2 linked regions of the Daphnia pulex genome follow. Each later gene encodes a partner of the first gene's protein in a complex. Links are inferred from orthologs where the notes say so. Each region holds a gene or a part of one and is shown in the gene's direction. Other genes may lie near its edges.

Region 1 (3,396 bases):
CAGTGATGAAAATAAAAATTACATCAGATCAGCCAATTGGTAACAAACAGCTTCCATGTTTTGATTGATCTTGTCTTGAACCACAGCCAATTCTTTCTTCAAGTGATGCACTTCACGCATGAGAATGTCATTTTCAGCATCCTCAATATGTTGCATGTCTTGCAACTCTTGTTTAGCCAATTGCAATCGAGCCATCTAAACAGAAAATCAACAAGTTTAATAAATCTTTAAATCTTAATCTTTAATAATTTTTTACCAGTTCCAGCTGCCTTTTCTCATAATCCTGCACTTTGATAACATGCAATGTCAGTTCAGGCTGCATGTTTCTCAATTGGCACTCAATTTTAATTATTTCTTCTGAGATTCGCTTAAAGTCTTGAGTTATGTCTTGAACAAGTGTACGAAACTGGATAAAGTCATAATTTGGTCCAGTGCTCAGATAAATCTTATGCCCTCTGGAAAGAAACAATACATGCAAAAATTACCTCATGTGAAATTTTTTAAATAACATTGTAACTCACTCATGAAAAATCTTGTAGGTGTGGACCCTTTCCTCTTGCAATTGCTGGAATTTCCTCAAAAGGCCATAAGCTGTGACTCCATCCATGTTGAGAATTATAATTTTACTAACGTGTAACGAACAAAACGGAATGAACGATCTAGGTAAAGAAAAGATACGAATTGTATTGTATATTTAAAAGGAAATAAGCCTAGGTTATACAAATAATTACCTTTGGAGAAACAGAGTTCTTATTATCACGGTTGCGAAGGTAGGTTTTCTATCCTCGTAACATCACGACTTGTGGTTCCAGAATAAAGAGGACGACTATATTTTAAGGGTGACGACCCGGTCCTTTCATCAACGCCCCTAGGGTCAATTCTGAGACAGACAAAAAAAGGGCTGGGTTACTGGGTTGGAAAAGCTGAGTCTGGCCTTTAAAAAACCCTCTACAATACACTAGGGAGTATGAGATAAGGATTTTTTAAAAAACAGCCTCTGCCTTCAGCCAGTTTTCTGACTTTTCTTGAGACTATTGAAGGACGCCGAACTCGAATTCGAAAGTTGAATTCGACCTCTGGCTAGATAGATATTTTTTGATAACATGAATAATAAAATATACATCAACAGTTTGATACTATTACCAGACGGAAATTGAAAAAAATTGTGATTAAACTCACCATTAAATCACACGAGGCGGACACAAAACTATCTACCCTAGCAACTGCCACTGAGTCTAAACCTCGTGTGACTTTTTGACTTTTGAAAGCGTGCTCTCGCCAACTTGGCCAATTCAAGTCCTCGGGCAAAAATATTTGCATAGAGGAGCATCTAGTTATATCTTTTGGGTACAGGTGGCGCTGGTGTTTCGTTATGCTTTTTCGCTGCTGTGTTTACTCTGTCAATTGTCATTTTTGGCATCCAACATTTGCCTGAATAATTTATTAATATCTATAATTACTACGATATATCGGATTCGACCAAGGTCAGTCTAGTCGGATACGGAGATTTTACAAGCGATGACCTCATACTAACGAGTAAAAAGGGTAAAAGTTTTTGACAAAAAATGTCGGAATCATTCACCATCCAAGTGGCCGATTCTCTTCGGAGATTTGAGCCGAATTCTCCAAGATCTTCTCCAAGAGGAAATCGAAGCCCAGTTGTTCCCAGGCAACAAGATTCCACTGGAACACTGAAAACCACCATATCACTTGGAAAGACCCCAACAATTGTTCATACCGGACCATTTTATCTTCACAAGGAACTGCCAGGTATACATATTTTACGTGACTGTATCATTCTTTCACTCAAGGTAAATCTATCGCAGGAGATACTGACCTAACCGGAGCAACAAATTTAATGGCTCACTACAATTTGGAACATTCATACAACAAATTCAGTGGCAAAAAGTTCAAAGATTCGCTATCTTCATTCTTACCTGGATTACCCGGCATGATTGATACTCCTGGTAACACAGACAATTCATCCTTAAGATCCATCATTGAAAAACCTCCAATCGGTGGCAAGGAGTTGGTATTCTTGAATTCCTCTCAACTTGCAGGATTCCGTCTTCATCCAGGACCAGTAAGAGACTTTTAGACAGCAAATCACATAATTGTTATTTTAATTTTCACATCTTTATTTCATAGTTGCCTGAGCAGTATCAAACCTCTTCCCTGGCCCCACTGAAGAAAAAACAGAAACACAAGAAACACAAAAAGAGTAGCGAGATCTCAATTCAAGAAACTGGAGCTGGAATCGCTGGACCGGGCATTGGAGTAGTAGGAGAGGGAGGAGCCGGTTCGGGCGGTGAATCCTACGAAAAAAAGCATAAGAAACAAAAGCGACACGAAGATGAGAAAGATCGCAAGAAGAAGAAGAAGGAGAAGAAGAAAAAGAAACAGAAGCACAGTCCAGAACACCCAGGAGCATCAGCCTCAATCGGTACTACAAATTCAAACAGTAACCCACCTGGAATGATGCCCTTACTTTGAGAAACCTTCTTGTCACGTCGATTTATTTCGAATTTTTTCTGCTTCTTTCGAGAGTATAAATAAAATTCCATTCAATGAGTGAATTTTGGTTTATTATTATTCATTCTTTCAAATATTTTCTTCTAAATCGGAGTTTGAAAGCTATAGCGTTGGCTTGCCCGAAAACAATGATAAGCACGTCACGATAGCTACACGCAAGTCACAATCGCTCAAATGATATGATCAATAGGGTAAAACAACTTTATATTCATTAATTACAAATACTAACAGTGAATGTTCGAACGCAAATTTGTCAACTGCTGTTGGTTCAAATTTCTTGATGAACCGTACCATGACTAGATAATTATTATTGCGACGACTCGTACGACAAAACGAACGAGTAATCATTTAAGTACAACAACTAAAAGTAACAAGCGAATCAAGTGATGTCCGGTGTGTGTTGCTTGGTCGATTGATGATGAGCTTTCAAGTCGGCTCAACCTTTTTACGCTGTTCGCTTCCGGCGGCCACGTAAGAAAACACGCAGAGAACAGCGTAACAAATCTGATCCGCCTGTTTTGTTTAAAAGAACAAAAAAAGGTTGATTAATATAATAACAAATGATTCAACAGAAGACACAGCAAAAGAAAAATAAATAAATAAAAAGCAGGTCAAATAGCAAAACGAAACTTGCCTTTGACCGGATCACAACAAAGAAACAGAATAAGTGGATTGCAGACCGTCTTTATCAAACTGAAAGTTTAATCCACTCAACAAGACTGTTGAATGGCCATAGACACGCGGACAGAAAAGACACGATGGATTGCTAATGCTATCTCGTTGGCCTAAACGGTAGCGTGCAGGTATAAAGGTTAAAAATCAGGCAAACAGAAAAATAAATGAAAAAAAGGAATAAACATTTTT
Region 2 (4,494 bases), on another chromosome or scaffold:
CAACAGCGCCATCTATTGGTGAAATCGATCAACAGGAAAATTGATCGAATTTTTCCCAAATGTCTCACTAAACCAAAACCCAAAGAAAAAGAATTTTAAAAAGAAAATAAACGATAAAAAAAGGCAACAATCTAACCAGCTCACACACGGAGAGTTAATCCGTCTGCCACCCAAGATGGGCATTGGACGGTATATAGCCTTAAAGTAGTAGTATGGATTTCTCTCGCGCTAGACTATGTATATAGAGTAGCTAGATTATATAGGGCTCCATCCTACTATACTATATATATATACCCAACGGCGGTACAAAATTGCAACTCCGGCGACTATATAGGAACTTGTATAATCGGATCAGGAATTTTTTCTTCATTCCCTTTTTTATTTTATTTTTTCACCTTGCGGGGGTCAGCGCGTTTCGCTTTTCCTTTTAACACACCGCGCCACCAGTTTCACTTTGAGACTCGACCGGAATAAGAAATGAATTGGTAATCAAATTTTTTTTTTCTAGAAGATTCCGGATGCTGCTGAGGCACGCCAGCGAGCAACTGGCAGATTTTTTGTTTTACAGTACTCTCCCCCCTCTCTTGACTGGATGGTTTCCTATTTCTTTTTCGAAACAAATAAATTTCAAAAAAAAAAATCCCTTTTGACTTTTTCTTTCCTCCTGTTCTCACCATTTGCGAGAAGGATCAGTTAGTACGCAAGCCCGGTTCCCCCCCCCCCCACTCCTCTTTTTTTACACATGCACATATATCCTTGAGGGATGGATCAATGGTTTCCTAGCAACCCTAGTCGTTCGCTGAACCGAGTGCACCAACTTCCTAGATATAAACTCTCTCCATACATGTATGTATGGGGGGGTGGGGGTGGGACTATTTTGTAGATAAGCGACGACGGGGGGGGGGACAGACATGAACGAGATTTTGTTATTCCGCTCATAATACACACGACGACGACGGACATTCACACAGATAGGCGCCGCCGGTTTCTAGTCTAGATCCCATTATGTATGCGGTGGAATCGGTTGACCTCATCTTTGCGCGCGGGAGTGTGTCGAGCGCACATAATACCCCATCGTAATACCCGCGAGCGGGTTTATTAAACGCCGAGTATCACACTATCAACAGAAATAATTTCGAATGTTATCCGCACACGAACGTCAGCGGTTTTGTGACTACATATGTTCAAACTCGCACATTCAGCGGTACAAGAGAGAGAGCTCCGTGGGTATATTTGCATGTTGTGTAACAATTTAAGAGTAAAAGAGAGAGTTATGGGCCTGTCGTCAAAGAAACCCCAAGATAAATGTTGAGCAGCTACTTTTATTTAGACATATAGCTCGAGACGGGCCACACACTCTATAACGGCTCACTTGTAGTATAGTGTTCATCCGGTTCCCACCCACTTTTTCTTACAAATGCTCGACGCGAGGTTTTTCTCACTTCAGAACTGTCGTACGTGAATATTGGATGATATTTCTCACCCGTTTTTTTTTTTTTTGTTTTTGTCAAGGGGAGGAGTGTGAATGCTTCAAGGTTTCACAGCTCTTGTTTGTGTTCCCGTTTTCCGACTTTTCCCCAATCTATTTTTAAATAGTAAAAATCAAGAAAAAGGAAAATCGATTGATCGATTGTTAAGGAGCATATCGATACTTATATCGAAGCCGGTCTTTCTGACAGGCACGAAAAGCAGTTTGTTTTGAAACAAACGTGACTTTCTTTTTCATCTTTTTGTTTTGTAATTAAGTATAGGAATAGAATATAAACATTCAGGTGTAATTTCGGGGAGTCGACTGTGTGTGGAATTTACCTAGTTGACCCTGTAACAACATCATGGGTGTCATAGTGTGAGTAAAGCATTCAGTGTCTCTCAGCTTTATCACATTTCATTCAAATGAAGGAACCATTAATTGAATCACAAGTTTGTATGAAATAATTACTAATTTGATGTTGTTTTTCAATTTTAGTTTACAACTGTTTGCTGTTCCTGAAGGCAAGTCCGGTCCTCAGGTTATTGAAATGTTGACCAAACGGGCCATTGCTCTGGGAGCTGTTCTTAGTGGATCCTTCATCGTGGATTGTGAAACTTACAGTTCTACTGCATCATTGGGTAAAAAACACAATCTTCTATTACATTTTTCCCGATTCAAGTCCATGGTGGTAAACAAGTTGTGACAGCAGACCCATCTGCTGCTCACTTTACCAGCTCCAAGTCCACCGTTGGAACTGTTCAGCTTTCCCATAACCAGATGGCACCACCCATCTCTACATTTGAATAACTCAAATGTGGAGGGCACCGAGTTCTTTTGATTTTAACCATCCGCTCGACACGTAACACACGAGATATCCGAATCCTCTAAACACCTTTTACGAGCAAAACACACTACCTGACTTGTAAATTTCCTCCCCTTCCATTCCCACATATGGATGTCTCTACCTCTTTTATTTTTTCCTCCCAAACTCTTTGCTTAGTTTTCTTTATTCCCTTTTTGCTATTCCAACTTTTATTTAAGGACCGTGTCGAGTGAAGCTAGCTTTTTTTTCCCCCTAAAACGATTCGTTCTGCCGGGTAATTCAGGTAGGCCGTCCTACGTGCGCTAGTGACAAGCTGTCAACATATATACTTGCCCGTCCTTGGCTCTTTGACTCACGGACGCCTCTGGGACCGATGACATACGGTCCATTCAATTCGTGAAAAAAAACAAATTTGTTTTTTTCTTTTTATTAATTTTTTTGTTTTGAATTTCGTATTTCGATTCCGCATTGTTCTACTGCCATTCCGCGACGTTGAATCTGCCCGTCTGCTGCCGCCGCCGCCGCCTTATTGTCTCTTAAGTCTGTTAAGGCTGAGCGTTGATACAGTTGGCGTCTTTTGTTTCATCGATCCGTAGCCTCTCTCGACTCTCTTTCTCTTCTCTCTCTCTCGTCTAACTCGGCAATTCGATGTCAAGCGTATTTGATACGCCACAGGGCCATCAGCTGACTTGTGTGCACCACTTGGCAAAAAGAACGACCGAGAATAGCTCTGTCTCGACATGTTTACATTTAAATAGCTTCATCCCCTCTCTCTCCACTTCATTCCTTTTTTTCACAATTAGTTTCCATTTTCGCACACATTTCAAGCGACTGGAAATCAAAAGGGGTGGAGCCAGCAGATACACACGACACATTCTTGAAATGTTTTAATAAGTTACAAGGGAAAAAGGAGTAGTAGAGATATATATGCGACGAAGCCTCCTCCTTCTTCTTGTTAGAAAACCCCCCTCCCGGAGCGCATCTGAAGAGGAGGGAACCGTTCCCCCCAAACTTTCTTGTTGTCGTCAATCTTGGGCGTGATTCGTGTCGTCACGGAAATAGAGAGGGGGGCCGGCCAGTTTCGGACCGAAAATAATAAAAAAAAATGTTGAAAAAGGAACAAATAGTCGCAATATCTTTTCCCGTCTCCAACAGAAGACCATAGCGCGAGCACACTCCTCTCTTCTTTTTTGCCGATTTCGCCGATTTTCTGTTGTTTTCCGGCGTTCCCCCCACTTGGTATCCTCTCTACATCTGGCCGTCAGTCTGTGCCGTTCATCTGTGAAATTGAATCTCTCCGCACCCCCGTACGAGTTTTCTCAGCTGACACCTACACAGGACGGGCCAACTTGGCGAGTTTTTGGGAAGTAGGAGAATCTATCAGTGAAAGAAACGCGGACATTTTCATCTTTTTATTTTTTTCTCTTTTTCTTCCAAAACGATCAAGTTGGAATGATGAAATCTGAGCTTGTGGGAGCCCCCTCTGGACTTTAACCAAATGTTTTTTAATGACCCTTTAAAAAGACGCGGAGAAAAGAGAGTCTTAAAAAACGTTTTCTCTTTTTGAAGTTGTCCAACTTCATTTTCTCCTGTGTGTTTTATTATTTGTGATCTTTCAATCGTTAAGGGCTCGTGTGTATAAAACATTTTCCCCCGTTCTTTTTTCTTTCTGATTTTACCCCGGGTGTATAACCACACCTTCCTACAGGGGGGTGAAAGCCGTTTGTTTCGTATGATAAAAATAAAAAAAAAAAAAAGAACTAGGAAGGCAGGTAAATTATTACCTTTGGTTAACCTTTCCTCTGTGCTACGGTAGGGGGGCGAGAGAAAGAAGATCTCGTCGAGAAATCTCCCCGTCCGTCCGTCCGAAATGAAGACATTCCGATCGGGGGATGGCGCAAAAGAGAAGGAAAGAGAGAAAATATTTTTATATCAGGTGAAAGAGGAGGAGGTTATACATGAAGTAGAAGAAGAAGAAAAGAAGCGTCCATAAGTTGATTGGAATGCGTTGAATAATTCACGAGCTGGATTGATTTGGTTTAACACAGAAAAGGGCAGCAGCAGCAGCCACCACACCAGGAAATAAAAGAAGATGTATCCTATTACCGGGGGGGATGATGTGAGCCTGATGGAATATCACCAAGTTCCTTGTAAAAGAAGAAGAAGAAGAAGAAGTGAGCGAGAAAGCACATTGGGTTGG

The links.
Region 2: mediator of RNA polymerase II transcription subunit 19-like (region 1) and mediator of RNA polymerase II transcription subunit 20-like share a complex: the UniProt entries of both Drosophila melanogaster proteins name them as parts of the mediator complex. The link is inferred for Daphnia pulex from reciprocal best matches to the Drosophila melanogaster genes MED19 and MED20.

The regions. Positions count from the first base shown.
Region 1 is NC_060023.1:10,280,291-10,283,686, forward strand, and holds mediator of RNA polymerase II transcription subunit 19-like, read left to right. Parts: upstream 1-1,348; 5' UTR 1,349-1,565; coding exon 1,566-1,770; intron 1,771-1,811; coding exon 1,812-2,083; intron 2,084-2,148; coding exon 2,149-2,493; 3' UTR 2,494-2,576; downstream 2,577-3,396. Other genes in the region: required for excision 1-B domain-containing protein-like, read right to left, coding at 19-195, 257-455, 522-607; MAP kinase-activating death domain protein-like, read right to left, coding at 2,959-3,045. UniProt on the Drosophila melanogaster protein: Component of the Mediator complex, a coactivator involved in the regulated transcription of nearly all RNA polymerase II-dependent genes.
Region 2 is NC_060026.1:11,663,791-11,668,284, reverse strand, and holds the start of mediator of RNA polymerase II transcription subunit 20-like, read left to right. Parts: upstream 1-1,649; 5' UTR 1,650-1,832; coding exon 1,833-1,846; intron 1,847-1,966; coding exon 1,967-2,109; intron 2,110-4,494. UniProt on the Drosophila melanogaster protein: Component of the Mediator complex, a coactivator involved in the regulated transcription of nearly all RNA polymerase II-dependent genes.